3 linked regions of the Xenopus tropicalis genome follow. The protein of the gene in region 1 interacts with the protein of each later gene in a pairwise test. Links are inferred from orthologs where the notes say so. Each region holds a gene or a part of one and is shown on either strand. Other genes may lie near its edges.

The links. The genes of interacting proteins can lie anywhere in the genome.
Region 2: the proteins of ube2e2 (region 1) and arrdc3 interact in binary tests that used the Homo sapiens proteins (3 or more experiments, as listed by UniProt). The two-hybrid records come from large-scale screens. The link is inferred for Xenopus tropicalis from reciprocal best matches to the Homo sapiens genes UBE2E2 and ARRDC3.
Region 3: the proteins of ube2e2 (region 1) and znrf1 interact in a two-hybrid assay, tested with the Homo sapiens proteins (2 studies listed by BioGRID and IntAct). The link is inferred for Xenopus tropicalis from reciprocal best matches to the Homo sapiens genes UBE2E2 and ZNRF1.

What each region holds. Positions count from the first base shown.
Region 1 is NC_030682.2:46,325,276-46,331,623, reverse strand, and holds the start of ube2e2 (ubiquitin-conjugating enzyme E2 E2), read right to left. Parts: upstream 3,629-6,348; 5' UTR 3,314-3,628; intron 1-3,313.
Region 2 is NC_030677.2:178,684,754-178,691,168, reverse strand, and holds the start of arrdc3 (arrestin domain-containing protein 3), read right to left. Parts: upstream 3,507-6,415; 5' UTR 3,318-3,506; coding exon 3,038-3,317; intron 1,423-3,037; exon of another isoform or gene 752-1,422; intron 302-751; exon of another isoform or gene 70-301; intron 1-69. UniProt on the Homo sapiens protein: Adapter protein that plays a role in regulating cell-surface expression of adrenergic receptors and probably also other G protein-coupled receptors.
Region 3 is NC_030680.2:74,534,497-74,540,927, forward strand, and holds the start of znrf1 (E3 ubiquitin-protein ligase ZNRF1), read right to left. Parts: upstream 3,507-6,431; 5' UTR 3,455-3,506; coding exon 3,127-3,454; intron 1-3,126. UniProt on the Homo sapiens protein: E3 ubiquitin-protein ligase that plays a role in different processes including cell differentiation, receptor recycling or regulation of inflammation. Mediates the ubiquitination of AKT1 and GLUL, thereby playing a role in neuron cells differentiation.

The DNA.
Region 1 (6,348 bases):
AATTGCAAAAAACATGTTCTTATACGTTCCTGCTTAACATTCATCATGGTAAATTGACTCTATTGCAAGAAATAGCATTTAAAAAGGATGTCTGCTTTTTGCTTGCAATTACTGCATCTGTGGGGGTGAAAGGAGCAAAACATTTCCTACAATGGAAAGTGTAAAAAGAAAGCTTTATTTATAACATTGTACACATCAATTTGATCAAATGTGCTTATCTTAGATAAGCAAATGGTGGGTGGAATGTAAAACCACACTCATAAAGAGGTGCCATATGACTCTTGTGCATTTCTTCTAGTGTTGGTTTACTAAAGCACAGAGCATGAGGTCTGTTTACTTGCTATACCTATCATGAGATTACAATTCAATCACTCAGAATCCTTTTCACATTTTAAAACCAGAAAATATATACTTACACACAATATATTTTATATCATGCACATTGTGCATCCACAGGTGGTATAGATTAGCTGAATGTTCACATTGTAAAGTAACTGACATAAATACTGTAGTTCTATCAAATTGTTCAAATCATACAAGAGATTTACATATGCCACACAAAGCTTGCACGAGCCACATGGCTGTAAATCACGGAATGTACATACACACAGTACTACACATTTTGTATTTTAATACATGTAGTCTGGTATGTCTGAAATCAAATTTGTATGTGTTTTAGATGCTGGGCAATAAGAAACCATGATTATGGCACAGAGTATTTTTGGTGCTTCAGCCACTAAGCCACTTTAACTGCAATCATGTCTCTACATGCACGAGGGAGATGCAGTTCACTGACTGCGGACAATTGGCTATCCCCGGCCTATTGCTAAGAACAGTGCTATCCCACTCATGGTTTAGCTGCATCTCTCCATCAGACTCACATAGCGATTTATACATGACATTGCAGCTTTCGGTCTGTGTAGCATTCTGCACAACACTGGATGTTTTTAAATTGCTACATGCCAATCATATTTTCCTTTATTTATGTGACTTATTCAGTTCATTTTCTCTCTGTAGGGCTTGAGTTATCAAGTTAGGAAGTTCTTAAAATGGGTCACTATGATCCCCTTTAGGGTGAAGACACCTGGAGCTACTAGTAGCAGCTACAAAAACAGACAATGCTGATAATTTACTGATAATTGTCTCTACGTGTATTTTAGCAGAGGCAATTCTCAGTCTTGTATATGGCAGGGTATTTTCTGGCATTCTGTAGCCATGACAAGTAGCTGCTACTAAGTAGCTAAATGTGTCTTTGCTCTTGATGCTATGAAAATGCAAGTAACAGACACTAAGTGGCTGATTATATGATCATTTAATCCAGGGTTTCAGCTAAAACAAAGTCAGAAAATACTAGTAAGTTGTTTTATTATCTGGTATCTACTGTTTTTTTCCCATTGTGCAGGGTTTTTCTTTGCACAATCAATTGTTTTTAAAAAAAACTTGCTTATTCATAAAATGATTACATTTATAATTATATATATAGATATAGATATATAGATTATATCTATAAAGAGTGTAGTCGCACAGCTGACTCTGAAATTCACCCACTTTCTATTTATTACTAAGGGATTTTTAGAAATGTATTTATCAAATAATTATTCCTATGGGATTTTTAGAAGCATGTTTATCAGAGGGTGAAAGTTAGAGTCCATCATTTGATAAATATGTTTCTAAAAATCCCTCAGGAATAAATAGAAAGTGGGTGAATTTTTCTGTGGTTAGCTCTAATCTCACATTTTGATAAATCTCCCTCTAAGTCTTAGGATGATAAATCATGGGTGCTCAGCAGCTGGCTAAAAGCACCAACTGGAAAAAAATACCAGCCTTCCTATATTTTTTTTATCTATTGTCCCTATTAATATTACAATCATAAAGGATCAATTTTACCCGCAAGGTGGCAACCCTACATGTAAACCAGCTGAAAAGCATGTATCATTAGCTTTAAGATGACTACAAAAAATCCAACACTGTCTTTGATTAAGCCACTCCAAGCCAAGCCCTCCAATACTGGGTTGGAGATCAGTCATTTATCTATTGCCCTGGTTTGAAAATTATACCATCTAAGAAGTCTTTATTGGGTTGAAGTGTCTGCATAGGCCCCTAGGGTGATTCTTCTGTTAGCCAGGAAGAAAAAATAAAATCAGAACAAATATGGGTCACTCAATATTCCCAAAATCAGGCAAAAGTCAACTCATTTAGTAACCTTGTTAAACAAGTGGATCTTTGTGCACATGGCTATCTTAGGCCATTTAATACTAAGAGAACTAACATTACAGGAAATGATATAATGATATATGCACTTTTTTCACCTGCACGTTGAACAAGTAAAGCAAGTCAACATACTGTACAACAGAATTCCCATTTAAGAGTCAGGCAAAACATGTTTTAATCAATCCAACACTGGTTACACTGTCAGTATTGCACACATATCTATTAGTTGAGTGCACAATGAAAACAAAATCAAGATGTATATGCTACACCTCCGCTGTCCAACTGGAAGCCCACAAGCCAGATGTAGATCTCCAAGTCTTTTTCATGGCCCCCAGCAGGCTCATGGACTCCAAAGACTTTATATGACATCATCATTTCAGCAAAGTCCAGCCCCTGTACATGTGGTTTACTGGATAATTAGCCAACTACATGCAATAGGTTGAGCAAGCATTGAGCTACACTATCCACAAATTACAGATTTGCTAATAAACTGGATCAAATAATGTACAAACTGTACACTACCAACACACTAAAATGATAATAAGAATGAGTGCAAGCTCCTTGGAACACAGAATCTAATATTGAACTTGAATTGTTTACATATGTCCTTGTCTGGGGCTACATCCTCTGCTTATAAATGGTCGGCCCTCAACCTTTTGTTTAGCCATAGTTCCAAGAAACCCCACCAGCCAAAGCATACTGGGGGATGCTGGGAGTTGTAGTGAAACCCCAGCATGAGGGCAGCAGGCTGGACAACCATGACTGACTGAATGCAGAAAAGATTCCATTATCTACACTGAGTGAAGCTTGGTGTGTGTAACATGGTTCCCTCCCTAATGTACAGCACATCTGTATATGAAAGTCCTAGCCTGGCTAGTAGGATGGTAGCCCATCTGGCCAGCTGTAGGCTGCACAACACGATGTAGTGGGAGCTGATGTACCCTTACATTTGTATATAGGTTATGGGTCACATAGACACATCTATACACTGCATTCCCAATCTTTGGCACATGTAACACCTATACATCCTGTTGTGCCCTTTGTACAGCCAGTTTTATATGGGAGACCAATCATTTGTATGAAAGCACAGACAAATCATTACCTGCCCCCAATCCCGGTGCCGAACAAAGTGTGGGTGCAACACACGAACCCAGCTCTTCCTGACCTCCTCCTCCTCCTCTTCTTCCTCCTTCAACTGTCTCCCTGGGGCGGGGGGTCCTCTTTTCACACCTCTTCGGGGTCCGGACACACATCCACAGTCACCCCGGACCCCAAGGCACCTGTGTAGGTAAGTGCGTAGGGCTAGTCGTCAAGAAATATTAAGCCAAACGCCCCGCTTACATATGGTAAATCCCCTATTTCTCAGCAGCTCTCCCCCTACATCCAGAGCACAGGCTCCTATTTTAGCACGGACACGCGCAAAAGGGGCGGGTATTAGTACGGTATGTATGTCGCCGCCCTCTCTGGCTGCCTCTTCAGAACAACTCCTAGCGGCTCCGCCCACCGCCGTCGATGGACCCGCCCCAAGGAGTGCAGGAGCGCGCAAATAGAGTGTGATGTAAAGAGGGAGAAAAGAGGCCGTGAGGGAGGGGGCGAGCACATGGAGTCAGTGTTTCAGTGCGCGCTCCCGACACCGCTTGGCAGAAAATAGAAAACGTAGGGCTGCAATAACTTCAAGGGGTATATAAAGCTGAGCTGTGTGTTACTCAGCAATGATGTAGAAGTTACAGGGTTCCTCTGCTGTGTCAGCAGGTCCTTCATATTCTATGTGGCTGCGGCTATGGAGTGCTGAGCAGTATGCGCCGTGCCAAGGCATACACAGTGCTGGTTGCCCAGACGAGTGCAAATGTGGCCCTGAATAACTCTCTCTTGCTTTTCCTATCATGGACATGGGGCCACTGGCTCACATATTGTTTGGCAAGGCATTAGTGCTGTGGGATTTCCATGTATATGAGAAGTTTTCCCAGGGCACTGTCCCAGCGAGTAATTGCTCTTTACAGGGTATTGGTGGTTAGGAGCATGAGTGAATTGTTTCCATATCAATTTTAAATCTTTATTAGTATCTGCGATGTCATTTTTTTGTGGCAAAGGCCACAGGTGTTACAGCACAGGGCCACGAATGATATTTCATTTATTTGCCTATTACAGCCAGTGGTTTAAGTTTGGGGGGTTACTTTGCATACTATTCACCAAAACTATTTATTACAGGAAGTAATGAAAGAGGGGAGAGGGTATTTAGTTGAATATTTGCCTCAATTTATATTACTCCACAAGGAAAAACACATCTTGAAAAGTTAGACAGGAAGTGGCTTAGGGATATGGCTATCTGTGTTCTTAACCTACATAAATATGTGCCAGAACAACACAGATATATGCACAGCAGCATTCATGTGCATCAGGGCTGGCCAGCTCATAATCCTCCAGGTGCAGCTGAACATTGAAAATAGCCTGCGAAGAAATTCTGTTTATTACTAATCCTGTCAATTCCTGTCATTTCCAGAGTGATTATTGATTTTTCCTTGTATAAACAGAACTTTCCTGGCACTTCTGCGGCTCTTTATCTGTGCTAAACCAGTTTCACCATCAGGTCTCGATTTCTCAGTGAGAGACGCAGAGGAAGCTATTCACCTTCTGACAGACCAAGGTAATCAACAACCTTTGCCCCTTAGGCCCCATGGTTTTTATTTTTAAAAAAATCGGTAAAGCAGGTTACCCACTGGAAATTGCACCCCCAGACATTCATAATAAAAAGGAAAGCAAAACTATTGTGTAGGTTCAAAAGGTATTTCTTAGCAATGATTTAAATTAGTATAGAACTGTGTAGCTATTATTATGAGTATATTACAATCCATTCAATTTTAACATTATCCAATATTAAAAGAAAACTACCACACAGAATCATGTATATTGTGGAAAGTCAGATACATTAAATAAGCTGTGAATACCATATTGAAGAGCTAAAGATCACTGGCCCAGACAGAACAATCAGTCAATCTCCAACATAGATGGAGATAATAAATAATGGCTTAGGCCAATGGCACACAGAATTTTCTTCACTGGCATAGATGCCCCGGCATGGAAAAGGCCGATCTGCTTTCATCTGCCCCACCCTGTGTGAGAACTGGCAGGCATGGTATTGGCCCATTAGTGTGCACATGGTGCAAATTATGTGTGCAGAAAAACTAAACTGTGCATGGTTGCACCAATATCCACACTGTTTGCATGCTGGTGGGTCAATACTGTGCCTACCACTGCACACACAAGACAGGGCCTTTTCTCTGCAGATGTATCTGTGACAAAGGTGACCGCTTTGAGTGCTGTTTGGTCAAGTAGCCACTTTAAAGGCCTCTGCAAAGTGCATTTTGGAATTAAAACTGTACTTTCCTGCTACTGTTTGTTCTTTAGTATGTGTCTGAGACTATTACACTGTAGACACCTGGTATATGCAAGTCTTAGCAGTAACCTCTTTTAGATAGCTTACATTGCAAGAATTTGCCAATACCTAAGCCACAAAAAATACAAAAGGTTAAGGATAGGTTAAGGAATAGAAGAACCACTTATCACCTCCTGTTAATTATTGTCTTATTGTGTTATAATCATTTAAAGGAAGCCAAAAGAGAGATGTAACCTAGCAGCCTCAAAAACGACTATAAGTATGCCTCTAGGTTTTGGCTGCTGAATGAGAAACATAAATGTAACATTACTTAGTATCAACAGTGCCTGGACATAGTGATACCATAAAATGATGTCAGCATATGTATTCAGCAGTATTTAGCTTTGTTCTACGGCAAACTTTTTATAGTGGCTCATTAAATCTTATAAAGACTAGTTTAGGTACATAACATACTACATGTGTCGGAAAGGGATCATGGACACTTTTTAGAGACAATGTATATAGGAAATTTTATTGTAAACTATTCCTTATCCACATTTAGATTTGTATATTTAATCACGGATCATTGTATTTTCTAGTTCTGCTTGTGACCATGCCATACCTATTGTAACTGTTTATAATGATTTAGTAATATCTACTCCCTACATGCAGTTCCCTTTGTACTCATACCCTTCCCCATTCTCTGTTCTGTACCCTTTACCAGCTTTATATGTAGAAAAATGAAAACAGGAAGATATATAATA
Region 2 (6,415 bases), on another chromosome or scaffold:
CTTCACCCTTAATGAAGAAGGTAAACGAAACTGCTTCCTTTTGTGGCCTACATATCCCAGTATACATACCAGAACAATATAGCAATGAATATGTGTGAAACAGAAGGTGACTGACAGAGACAGCTTATAGCCAGGGGAAACAATAAGTCACCTCGTTGGCAGAACAAGTGCTCCTAAGCAAACCAATAAAACCAGTCCCTCTGGGAAACAATAAAATCCTAAATTCCGTGACCGCACGGGGAAGGTGAGATCTCAGGGAGGGGCCTGCTTATTTGAAGTAAACAACTTGACCTTCCCCACTCCTTGGCACACACCTGGGAGATACTGTATCTGCTCATGGGTGTGTGAGCGCTGAGTCACATTCTGTTGGTTGGCATCCTGGGCAGGATCCAGTTTAGCAAATTTACAATTATATATATATATTTGTAATTGAGTGAAGGCTGAGCTGTAGAGCACCACCTACAGTTGCGGCTTTTGACTATATAGGGGATTGTGGGTTGTAGTTGATGATAAAACAAGAATTAAGGTTAATACTTGTTTGAATGAATACCTAGGGAAAGCTGACCGAAATACAAAGGGGAGCAGCTGCTAAAACAAATAAATAAATGTACATTATAGTAAATCTGAGGTATATTATAGCAAGTCTATAGGTAGCACAACGTGATTTGGTAATTTAAGTCGGTTTGCTTGACTGAATATAATTTGATATGTTTCTCTTCTTAATGGAGCAGCACTTTTCCCCTTGCCTTACTTTCTTCCTTTGTGCCAGCTCAGCAATGTGCTGCAAAGTGAGCAGGCGAGAGAGAGGCAGCCGCACAGTGTGGTAAACAAGTGTGGAACTGTCAATCACAAGCAGACTCCAGCAGGAGAGGACCGGCCTGAACCGGTGCGAGCAGAACCTCAGCCAGTCCCTCATATGCATAGCTATTACGTAGCTCAGCCGCAGAGAGCGCAGCCTAACCCATGTCTCCGCCCACCTCCTCCCCCCGCCCCCAGCTTCCGGGTGTACAGGAGACCACGCTGGATTCTTGCTGAGAGCGGTACTACGTGTGTAGCCAGCACTAGCAATGCCCAGAGCGGTACTACGTGTGTAGCCAGCACTAGCAATGCCCAGAGCGGTACTACGTGTGTAGCCAGCACTACCAATGCCCAGAGCGGTACTACGTGTGTAGCCAGCACTAGCAATGCCCAGAGCGGTACTACGTGTGTAGCCAGCACTACCAATGCCCAGAGCGGTACTACGTGTGTAGCCAGCACTAGCAATGCCCAGAGCGATACTACGTGTGTAGCCAGCACTAGCAATGCTTAGGACCGGTATAATAAATGGCTTACACAGCTGTAAGCACTGCTCCCTAGCATAGTATAAAGCATTATGTGATGAAAGTATCTCTCTGGAGACCAGTGGGCTGCTAATGAACTATAAGTCACCCTGTAAGTATAGAGCATAAGGATAAGGCTCAATCACACGCACGCCTATTCCACACACAGTCCCTGCAACACAATAAAGGCAGCTGCGCTAATAAAGCCATGAGCTTGATACTCTATCACCGCCCCCTGCTCTAGCGCCAGCGGACTAGCAGCGTCAGGGAAGGCTAAAACGTCACGGGCACGCCCATCTCACTCCACCTGTTCCCTGGCGCCCTAAGCAACAAGGCCAGCCAATCGCATTCAGCGGCCGTTGTCTTGACAACAGCCTAACAAACTGCTCTGGGCCAATCGAATGCGAGTTGGGCGCGGCACTGATTTCCTTCCTCCTCCCTCACCAAGCAAGCTAGTGTGGCGCTGCACCTAACTGTAACTGTTAACCTGTAAGTTGCTGAGGTAGAATGGCACAGCTCGCAGCACACTACAATGAAACAATGCCTTGGGCGCTTTGCTAGTCACTGTGTGAGGCTGGACACCTGTTGGTGCATTACTGAGCTCTGAGACCGGCTTACTTAGCGCCTAGTAGCATTGTGCAGTAGAGCCTGCCAGTACTCTGGCTCCTTACACTGTTCCACTAATACACAGCACATACTTTATTTTCCTACGAGCCCTTACTGACCTGGAATTGAGAGCCCAACCCTGTGTATTGCATGGAGTCCGGCAACGTTCACTTGCTCAGTGACAGCACCTCTATACCACTAAGTCATGGAGGCTAGCACCACATATTGTACAGAGAGCCGCTCACTTCTTGCCCAAACACTGCCCTCAGCACTACTCTAGCACTACTCATTGCAATGCAGCACTGGCAAGTAACGCTGCCTTGGAATGGTATCACCGGGCAGCCATATAGAGTTGCAAGCCATTCATGGAACAGCAATGCCAGCTCCTTAGCGTGATACTAACGTTATGAGGTGCAATAACGATGGAAAATATAGACATTTGTACTGAATGAAGGTGCAAAGGATGCGCCATGCATGAGTGGGGTGGGTACCCACATATCGCCCAGCAGGGATTGAGGGGTACACTGCTGTTATTCAGTGCTTCTTTCCTTTGGAAGCGATTCAGCCTGCTCACCACCTGACTCCCCATCAGCCAATCCCGTGCAAGCAGCGCAGCTCCCCCCTCCCACTCACTTCTCTCTCCACTGACACCACTAGCCGAAAACAGGATTGAACCGCTTCTAACAAAGGGTGGTGTAAACTTCAGAAAAACAAGATGATTCCTTCACTTCCCCCACCCTGCTCGCAATGACTCTTCAACTCTCCCCATGCCCCCCCCCCCATGCCCAATCACCCCCATATTCACTGGGCTCCCCAACAGGCTGCCCGGGCTCTGCGGCACACACCTTCCAGTTAGGCTGGCGAGCTGGGCACAGCCATGGGAGCCCACAGCAGCTGTATATACAGCCACACAATGCAAACAAATGGGCAATGACCGTTCCATAAGTTCAATAACAAAGCACTATGCTGATGCTGTAGAACTACAACTCCCAAGCCCCTCAGCTAAATATAAAGGCTACAACTTCACACAAATAAATGGCTGCCTGACTGATAACCAATACACCCCAATATCAGGTACCCCCAGCACCCCATAAAAGCCCCAGCATCCTTACCTCTCTCATGCCCAATCAGGATGTCTTTATGACTGAAATACTCCACTTCTTCAGTATAATTCTGGGTATAGGCAGTGTTGGAGCCAGCGTTCCTTGATTCCGTCCATCTGACTTTTGCATGCCCCCTGGCATGGATCCTCAGGGATTTCACCCGAATTTCCCCCGTCACTTCCAGATTGACCCTTCCTGAGACTGCATCCCCGCTGGAATAGACGGGGACGTGGCTGCCATTGAGGCAGTCAAAGCTTATGGTCAAACTCTTCACCTTCCCCAGCACCATGATTGTAAAAGGGGGCTATAAAAATATTCTGGGGGGGAGACAAAAGTTTCCGATTTCACATCAATGGCGATGTTGCCAGAGCACTGGAGTATGCATTTGCCGTGCAGAGACTGCAGGCAGGCTCAGTGCTCGCCCAGCGGCCAGCTCATCGGGAAGAACAGGTAGGAGAAGTAACAGCAGCAGCTGCTGTCACAGTGCTCTCTTCTATGGTCTCTTTACAAAGACGCCTGTCTGCAGTGTGCCGGCTCACTTATGTGCGGCTTTGGGAAAAACAAGCTCTCTGCGCATGCGCGCCCCTCTGCCACTCTTCCCTCACTCACTCACTCTCCGCTAGCCCTCTAATATAGGGTTCTCTTATTCAAGAGACAACTTCGTAGGTCAGGACGTGTCCTTTTAGTTCCTATTCCTTTGTTTATGCATCCAACGTAGGCAGCTACATCCGAAAGGTAAACGGGTGATTTGTGAGGCCTTTGGGAAACATCAAAAAGTGTTGGAGTGATGCAGTCGGTGCGGTGCTGCAGTCACTTCTGAAGCATTCTGATCCTGTGCCCCTTCCCAGGGCTTATATAGGGAATCGTTTCCCCCTCCATTGGAAAATATAAGGAAGTGAATATTCCGAGGTCAACGTTGCCTCTAATTCCGTCTTTGCCCCATCATCATAATAAATATGTGTATAACTGAAACTTATTGTTCACTGACGTTTACCCTTCCTCCCTTCACTGCTACCACACGAATATTTGTGCTTCAAGTTCCAGCACAATGTATAATGTGTATATACAGTGGATATAAAAAGTCTACACACCCCTGGTAAAATGTCAGGTTCCTGTGCTGTACAACAATGAGACAAAGATAAATCATTTTAGAAATTTTTCCACCTTTAATGTGCCCTATAAACTGTACCACTCAATTGAAAAACAAACAAATCTTTTAGGGGGAGGGAAGAAAACCAAAAAAACTAAAATAATGTGGTTGCATAAGTGTGCACACCCATAAACTAATACTTTGTTAAAGCACCTTTTGATTTTATTGCAGCACTCAGTCTTTTTGGGTATGAGTCTATCAGCATGGCACGTTTTGACTTGCAAGATTTGCCCACTCTTCTTTGCAGAAACACTCCAAATCTGTCAGATTGCAAGGGCATCTCCTGTGCACAGCCCTCTTCAGATCAACCCACAGATTTTCAATCGGATTCAGGTCTGGGCTCTGGCTGGGCCATTCCAAAACTTTAATCTTCCGGTGAAGCCATTCCTTTGTTGATTTGGATGTATGCTTTGGGTCGTTGTCATGCTGAAAGATGAAGTTCCTCCTCATGTTCAGCTTTCTAGCAGAAGCCTGAGGGTTTTGTGCCAATATTGACTGGTATTTGGAACTGTTCATAATTCCCTCTATCTTAACTAAGGCCCCAGTTCCAGCTGAAGAAAAACAGCCCCATGATGCTGCCACCACCATGCTTCACTGTGGGTATGGTGTTCTTTTGGTGATGTGCAGTATTGTTTTTGTCCCAAACATATTTTTTGGAATTATGGCCAAAAAGTTCAACCTTGGTTTCATCAGACCATAACACCTTTTCCCACATGCTTTTGGGAGACTTCAGATGTGTTTTTGCAAAATGTAGCCTGACTTGGATGTTTTTCTTCGTAAGAAAAGAAATACGGGAGATTGTTGTCACATGTACCACACAGCCAGTACTTGCCAAATATTCTTGCAGCTCCTTTAATGTTGCTGTAGGCCTCTTGGTAGCCTCCCTGACCAGTTTTCTTCTCGTCTTTTCATCAATTTTGGAGGGACGTCCAGTTCTTGGTAATTCACTGTTGTGCCATATTTCTCCCTTTGATGATGACTGTCTTCACTGTGTTCCATGGTATATCTAATGCCTTGGAAATTCTTCTGTACCTTCTCCTGACTGATATCATTTAACAATGAGATCCCTCTGATGCTTTGGAAGCTCTCTGTGGACCATGGCTTTTGCTGTGGGATGCGACTAAAAAAATGTCAGGAAAGATCAACTAGAGCAGCTGAACTTTATTTGGGGTTAATCAGAGGCACTTTAAATGATGGCAGGTGTATGCTGACTCCTATTTAACATGATTTTGTAATGTGATTCCTTAATTCTGAACACAGCTACATCTCCAGTTAGAAGAGGGTGTGCACACTTATGGAACCACATTATTTTAGTTGTTTTGGTTTTCTTCCCTCCCCCTAAAAGATTTCAGTTTGTTTTTCAATTGAGTGGTACATTTTATAGGTCACATTAAAGGTGGAAAAAGTTCTGAAATGATTTATCTTTGTCTCATTTTTGTACGGCACAGGAACCTGACATTTTATCAGGGGTGTGTAGACTTTTTATATCCACTGTACATAGATATTGTATATATATTGTGCATATTGTTTATAGCACTATAATGCAAGCTTATTGTAAGTATTGTTCTGCCTCCCCTAGGCAGAACAATACTTACAATAAGCTTGTATGTGCCAACCGGCTTAGGGTTTGCAGTTAATGAGTAGCAGAGGACTGTGCTCTGTATCACTGTTCCCCATCATTTGGGCACTACATCAATTCCTTGGTGCAGTCCTCTCCCAACCGTTCCCCATAGTACCTTTTTTACCGATGCTAAAAATACCGGACAGACGGCAACCCTAACCATACAAGCTACTATACATTTAAAAAGAAAACACGGTCATTATCGCATTCACTATTCCTTATAACAGGACATATAGATAATAATATAAATGCATGTAACGCCTTCATTTTACTACAAATATGCCACCCTGTTATATTAGCTTCTAGGACGCTTGTAAATACAGTAAAGGTAAGAAGGTTATCAGACAGTTTTAAGTTGGCCATACACACACCGATAAAATCATACAAAACCCAGTTTGTACTATTGTTGGACCGTGTGTGGGCCCAGAATTATCGTCCCAAAAATGTTTGTATTATGACAATCAGTTGCTTAGTTGATTGGCCAGGTTAGAAAAATTCAGTCGGATAACAATAAAATCTGAGCATGTATTGTGTAAATGAAGATATCCTTGGGGGAACTACAGTGGAATTGCATTTGGATTGTGCCATTTAAACATACAACCAATATCCAAACATT
Region 3 (6,431 bases), on another chromosome or scaffold:
ATCCAATTAAAAATCTTCAGGGTGACCTGAAGAGACCTGTGCACAGGAGATGCTCTTGCAATCTGACATATCTGGAAATTTTCTTCTATGATTTATTTTTTTCTTTTGACTCATAGGTGGATTTTCAATAAGGCCAGGTGAGACTAAGCCTTCCCAAACCTGCGTGGCACCTTTAACAAAAACACAACTCACTCTCTGCACTGTTCTGGAACTTTTTAATATTGGGGAAATCTTCTTGCATTCCTGCTAGCTCTGGTTTTGTTGTACTCAACTGTGCTCTAATTGGATCCTTCTACTTGAGGCACCCCCAATCAGAGCACAGCTCTCTTGACAAGTCAATTTGTAAGTCTATCAAGGCACAGACGTAGGCAGGGCTGGGGAGATATTACAAACTGAAGACACTGCAGAAATTAATATTTCTAAGAAGGATCCACAGGCTATAAACTTTACCCAAGAATCTCACCAACTCTGAACTTTAGCTGCAGATTTCATCCCACAGGTACTATACTGTATCGTCATCCCACTCCAATGGGTACTATACTATATATGTTCGAGAGGCTGAATCACTAGCTGAAATTAAGTAGTTTTTTGTCACCTGGCATCCATAATGTCCCTATCGCCCTTGCTCCAGTCCTAAATTAACTCTTTCCCCCTGAAAAAGCTTATTGTGCTTTTATGTATATTTTTGCACTTTTTTTCTTACTGTTGTCATTGTTTTGTTCATTTCTAGTTAGTTGCAGTGGAGCCCTCATGAGACTGCATAACTGGGAAAAAAAAACAAATGTGTTTCAGTCCCAAGGTTAAAGCCCCAGAACATCTGGCATCAGTACCCATCTCACTGCATATAACATGCCTGGGGTGTTAGTACTCACTGCATATAATGTGCTGGTTTTGTAAATATAGACTACATTTCACCATATATAATGTGCCTGGGATGTCAGTACCCACTGCCTTTCTCACTATTAAGCTAAATAAAATTTAAGTTAACTGATAACAAACAAATGAATACTTTTACATACTAAGCCAGTGCGGTCCAACTTCTGTGGTACCGAGGGCCAGAATTATTCTGGCCTACATGGTGGAGGGCCGATAATATAAGCCAGTTTTGACCACTCCCCTTTTTTAAACTGCACCCACTTCAAACCATGCTATCAAAGAGCTTTGATAGTGCAGGTGAACAATGTGGGGGCTTAATGTCTGAGCCTAAGGTGTGAATAATGCAGGGTCGCCAGTTGGACAGCACAGTCCTAAGCAATTTAGGGTGAAAAAAGCACTCCCACCTGCAGTTTTGCACAGTATTCCTGTAAGTCAGTTGGAACCGCAAGAGGTAGTTTGGAGGTTTATTTATTTTTTTTACGCCAGCAGCAGATCCACTAAATCTCACATTAGCTTTAGGCCCATCTTTAGCCTCCCCAAACAATAAGTCACCCTCCACCTATGTTTTGACTTTTGTATAGGTTGCAATTTTGAAATAAAAGGTAGAATAAGTTCTGACAGGATTTATATTTGTGTTTTTATTTTTATTCAACAAAAACCTGCCATTTGTGTGTGTAGACTCTCTAGTGCCTGGCATTCCAGAATTTAGATGCTATATCTGTATTTACGTTACACAAGAGATAAATGGGGATATGTTTAGCATAAATAAATAGCATTTTGCATTGTAATAGTCTTCATTAGTCAGTATATACATTGACCATTTGAAGTAGTCACAGTTTTTTGTTTTTTTTTTTAAATTCAAAGGACTTGAGACATATACATGGGACTTACACTGCCCACTAGAACAAACTTCCATTGAGGGATGGGGTTAGCAAATACTTTTAAATTTGTTCAAAAGGAAAAATTGTTGGCACAAAAGGAATAATTTTTCATTGCACTTATATTTTCATTAATGACTTATTACATTTCCCCCATGGTTTCATGACTTTTTAAAATTTAATCCAGCAGTTTTATTTGTTGTACTTCAGCCACCTTTTACACCACTTGATATTTCCAGAAATCTTCGGGTCTATTTCTTTATGATTCTGATCCTACAATCATAAACACAGTTGTAAAGCAGTGCAAGCCTGCAGCTTTTTAAATGAATATCCCCCAAGAAAGAAGAACTGTCAATGAGAGAAATAAATTCTCTTGCACCAATCCCTGTATAAGTATAAAAAGGATTATAAAAACATTAACTATATTTCCCCACCCAACAATACACATATTACTAAAACCTAATGTACTTTGTATATAGGGAATTATGCCATAGATGTCACATTTTATTTACAATCTTAAGAGTCTACACTTATAGGAAATCATTGTAGGGCAGCAGAGGAGTCAAGAAGTGAGTCCACAAAAATACTCCAGAAAACACTACACAGCATTTCACTCCAGACTGACACCATGGAGCTAAAGAACATTCCATATTTTCATTGAAATACCTGAGAGGATTCATGCCAACCAGTTATAAAGCAGCAGTAATACCTGGCCTTTTGCACAAATGCAAATAATATTTTTATCTGTTGCACCAGTGCAAGTAGGGCTGCCACCTGGCTGGTATTTTACAGGCCTGGTTGGTAAAAATGATGCTTCATCCCAATGTTATTAATAGGCAAGAAAGCTAAATATATATGAAGCCTGGTACTTTTTTCCAGAGAAGGTGGCAACCTTAAGAGCAAGGGATGTATTTTACCTTGTACAGAATAAAAACGATGAGATGGATAGAGAAACAGACAAGCCTACTGCTTATAAACCTCAATATAGAAAGCTACTTTCAATTGGTCTATTAACAAAAAAAAAAATATATAGGACTAAGTGAGGAGATAACATGGTACCTCATAAGTACATGATGGCATCTCATAACTACAAGACACTAATAGAGGCAACCACTTATGAGAAACACCACTTAAAAACAAAGATGCCAACTGAGAGCTCAGCCTATGGATTCACATAAAATGTTGGCATTTTAGGCACATTAAGTGAAATGTGGCTTCAAAGTTGGTGTTAACAAAGGAGGGAATGAAATGACTGTCCATATTGGTGGCCTCCTGCTGCATGCAAACTGAACCTCACAAAATCTCAAGTCACTGGCACAAGGTAAATGGCCATGGCAGACAATATTCCATCAAGTAGAAATAAGGGACTCACCGCTGTGTGCCCCTATCCACCTCGGTGCTATTTGCAACGTGTCCGCCAGAGAAGCCCGGGACCCAAGGTAAAGGTCCCCCCGTGAGTCCTCGCTCCCTGAGCTGCCCCCTCTCTCGGTGTCAGGCCCGGCTCGGTATAAGCCAAACGGTAGGCCAGGGGCTGGGGGGTCCAAGCCAGAGACAGAGCTAACAGAACGGCTGCGCAGGCCCATGGCGCCCCCGGCTCGAAAATGTCCAAAGTTTGAGGAGGGGGGCACGGCACTGTCATCCGAGGAAACCCCCGGGAAGGGAGCCCGAGAGCGGGAGGCTGAGCTCTGCTTCCCCCCCATGGGGCACACAGCGCTAGAATTAGGCACTGTGTGCGCGTTTGGTGGATAGAGAAGAACGGAGGGCAAATATAAGTCTAGGAGGGGCAGTTCGTCAATTATGCTTATTAAAAGTGGGCAAGTTCATGAGGGAAGGGGTCCATGTGGCGCACAGTCCTGTGTAGGCCCCCGGCAGATATTACAGTAGCTTCTGAGCCGGCAGCATCCCTCCCTGCCGCAGTGAAGTTTGCCAGGGAAAGCAGCCCCCGTAGGATTGAGGTTCCCTATCCCCGGCAGGGGTGCGGCCAGCAGCTACTGAACTGGAAAGCACCCCCCTGTGCGATGCTCCAATGTCCAAGCCAAACTAGTGCTCTTGAGCTCATTCAGTAAGTGCCCCGACGCTTCTACACTCCTGTAAACTCGCCTGGATAAGGGCACCGGGCAGGGTGCAGTGCTGATCTCTTCTTCAGGAGTCCTAGCTACGGGGCCCATCAGATCCGCATCCCCTTTCTTTGGCCTTGTTGGTTCCCTGCCAGGCCGAGCAGTCCCATAGGTTTCCTTGGCCAATCGGCCGAACTCTCGGCCCCGAGTTCTCCTTGCCCAGCAGCAGCTAGCGTTCTGTCTCGCTGGCTACCTCAATCTGACTTGCTCCTTGTTGCTGGGCTGTAACAATAGAGGCCTGAGAGGCGCATGCGCAAGAGAGCTCTCTCCTCCTTCAGTCACTTTCCAAGCCTGCACATTAACCGTTGCCAGCCGAGGATCAGATGCTTCATTACAGATATGTCTATGGACTTCAGCGAGGCACAACTCAGCGCTCTCAGTTATGAATAGCATTGAGCTGGTGTGCAAACGAACCAAACCCAACTGGAAAGGAAAGGGTTAACCGTTCCTGCCTGTCATACTTTGAGGGATGGAATCAGCGGGGCTCATTTATCATGCCTGCAAACTGATTGGCAAATCTAAATAGCGCAAGGTTACCGGATCACCTCACATTAGGGAACCCTACATAAATGCAGTCCTGGGCAATACAGGGTTGATTGCATAAAATAAATGCAGTCAATTTTGCATTGATATTTGCATTTAGAAAAAATGTCAGTGTTTCATCATTTAATAAACCTTGATTTACTTAATTAAAAAAAAAACATAAATCAATCTCGGTGCAAATGTTGGCAAAATGCCCATAGGACTGTAGTTACATTACTGTGTGGCCTTATCTGCACACTTGGGGGCCCATTTGTCAAAGTACGATTAAGTCCGAACACAAAAAAATTGTATTTTTTCTAAGTATTAGAACTGTGCATATTTTTTGCAACATTTTTGTTTTTGCATCGTAAGTACAAAATTTTCATATCCAAACAAAAAGAATTTTCGTTACATTTGCGATCATCAGAAATGATCGGATTTCGTGATTCATATTCGTACCTTAGTGAATCAGCCCCTAGGAATCCACCAAATCCATATTTGAATTTATCTATATACCATAACAAGTCCTAACTGCATTATTTGGAAACTAAAAATAGTTGCTTTAAAGTCACATGACATAGTTAGCATTTTTGGTTTAGGTGAACACAAAGGACTTCAATGAAGTATAAAGGTGGCCATAAATGCACTGTAATTATCTTATAAAACAGCGCTTGTTTGGTGGGACACAAGGTGACCAATATCAGCAAAAGCCTTGAATGACGGTCGTCTCGTTTATCGGGCAGGACTGAAAATTTTGATTCAAAGCCTTTGTAGGTGCCCTAACATCATAACGTTAATGCTGAAGCTCCAGATGGGGGTGCCAATGGCGTTGCTAGCTACAATCACCCACTCCACATACCAATTTCTCATAGCAGCAGCACACATTTTTGCTTCTGTGGTTCGTGGAGAACAGGAAACACTTTATTTAATTACCAAACTCTGGCCTGCACTATGATAAAGGTTGGGCAGATGCCAATAAAAAAAGTGTATCTTTTCTTCAGGTAGGAACTGAAACGTTGGACTAAATAAACCTAATTTTTATTTTTACTTTATTACCTTGTGTAAAAATTCCTGTGTGCGGCACACACAGAACACTGCCTGTGTGTTCCATACTCTGCCTGCCTTTCCATGCCTGTGTGTGCCATACTCTGCTTGCCCTATGCTGCTTGTGTGTGCCATACTCTGCCTGCCCTATGTTGCCTGTGTGTGCCATACTCTGCCTGCCCTATGCTGCCTGTGTGTGCCATACTCTGCCTGCCCCATGCTGCCTGTGTGCCATACTCTGCCTGCCCTACCCTAACAATGCAGGGACTAAAAGGTGTGAACAGTAAAGGAGATTACAGATGTAAACAATACAGGGGTTTACAGCCTGAATCTGAAGTGTGAACAATGCAGGTGGCCAGTTAATCTCAGTACTGGTACCACTTAAATCTTACACAAAGGTCAGGAGTCAGACATGCGGTGGGGCCACAGAGAGGGGGGGCCGCAGGTGCCAGTTGGACAGCACTGCTGTAGATCCTTTTTAGCCTCCCCTAGCCTTATTGAAAATCTACCTATGATGTAAAATGCAAATAAAGTTTGCACCCACAGAAGATATATTTTACCTCCCCTTTCCTAACAGTGATATATGTTATCACAGAGGTGACTGTGAAAAGAAGGGAAAAAAAGTAGTGATATAAATATCAGGGGTTGGAGTCAAGAGGTTCCCACTCCCCCATAAAGCCCACTTTCAGGGCTATCAACACAATAGCAGCCATGCTCCCAGAAGAAGCACTGTGATAGGGAGTAGAGGGTGCAGTACAAAGTGCAGATTTTGCACTGGGGCCTGCAGAACAGCAGTTTTGTTACTGGAAAAAGTGCTAATATGTTTCATGAAACAAAATCTTTGGCATATTTTGAAGATGACATTTACTTTTGGCCTGAATGTTTTTTTTTATAAGTGTCTATCTCTAATTTAAATTCTCATCCCTTTGGGGTCTCACATTACTACAGGTATTTTGCATTTTCTACTTATCCTGTTTCTGTGCTTTCCCCCATT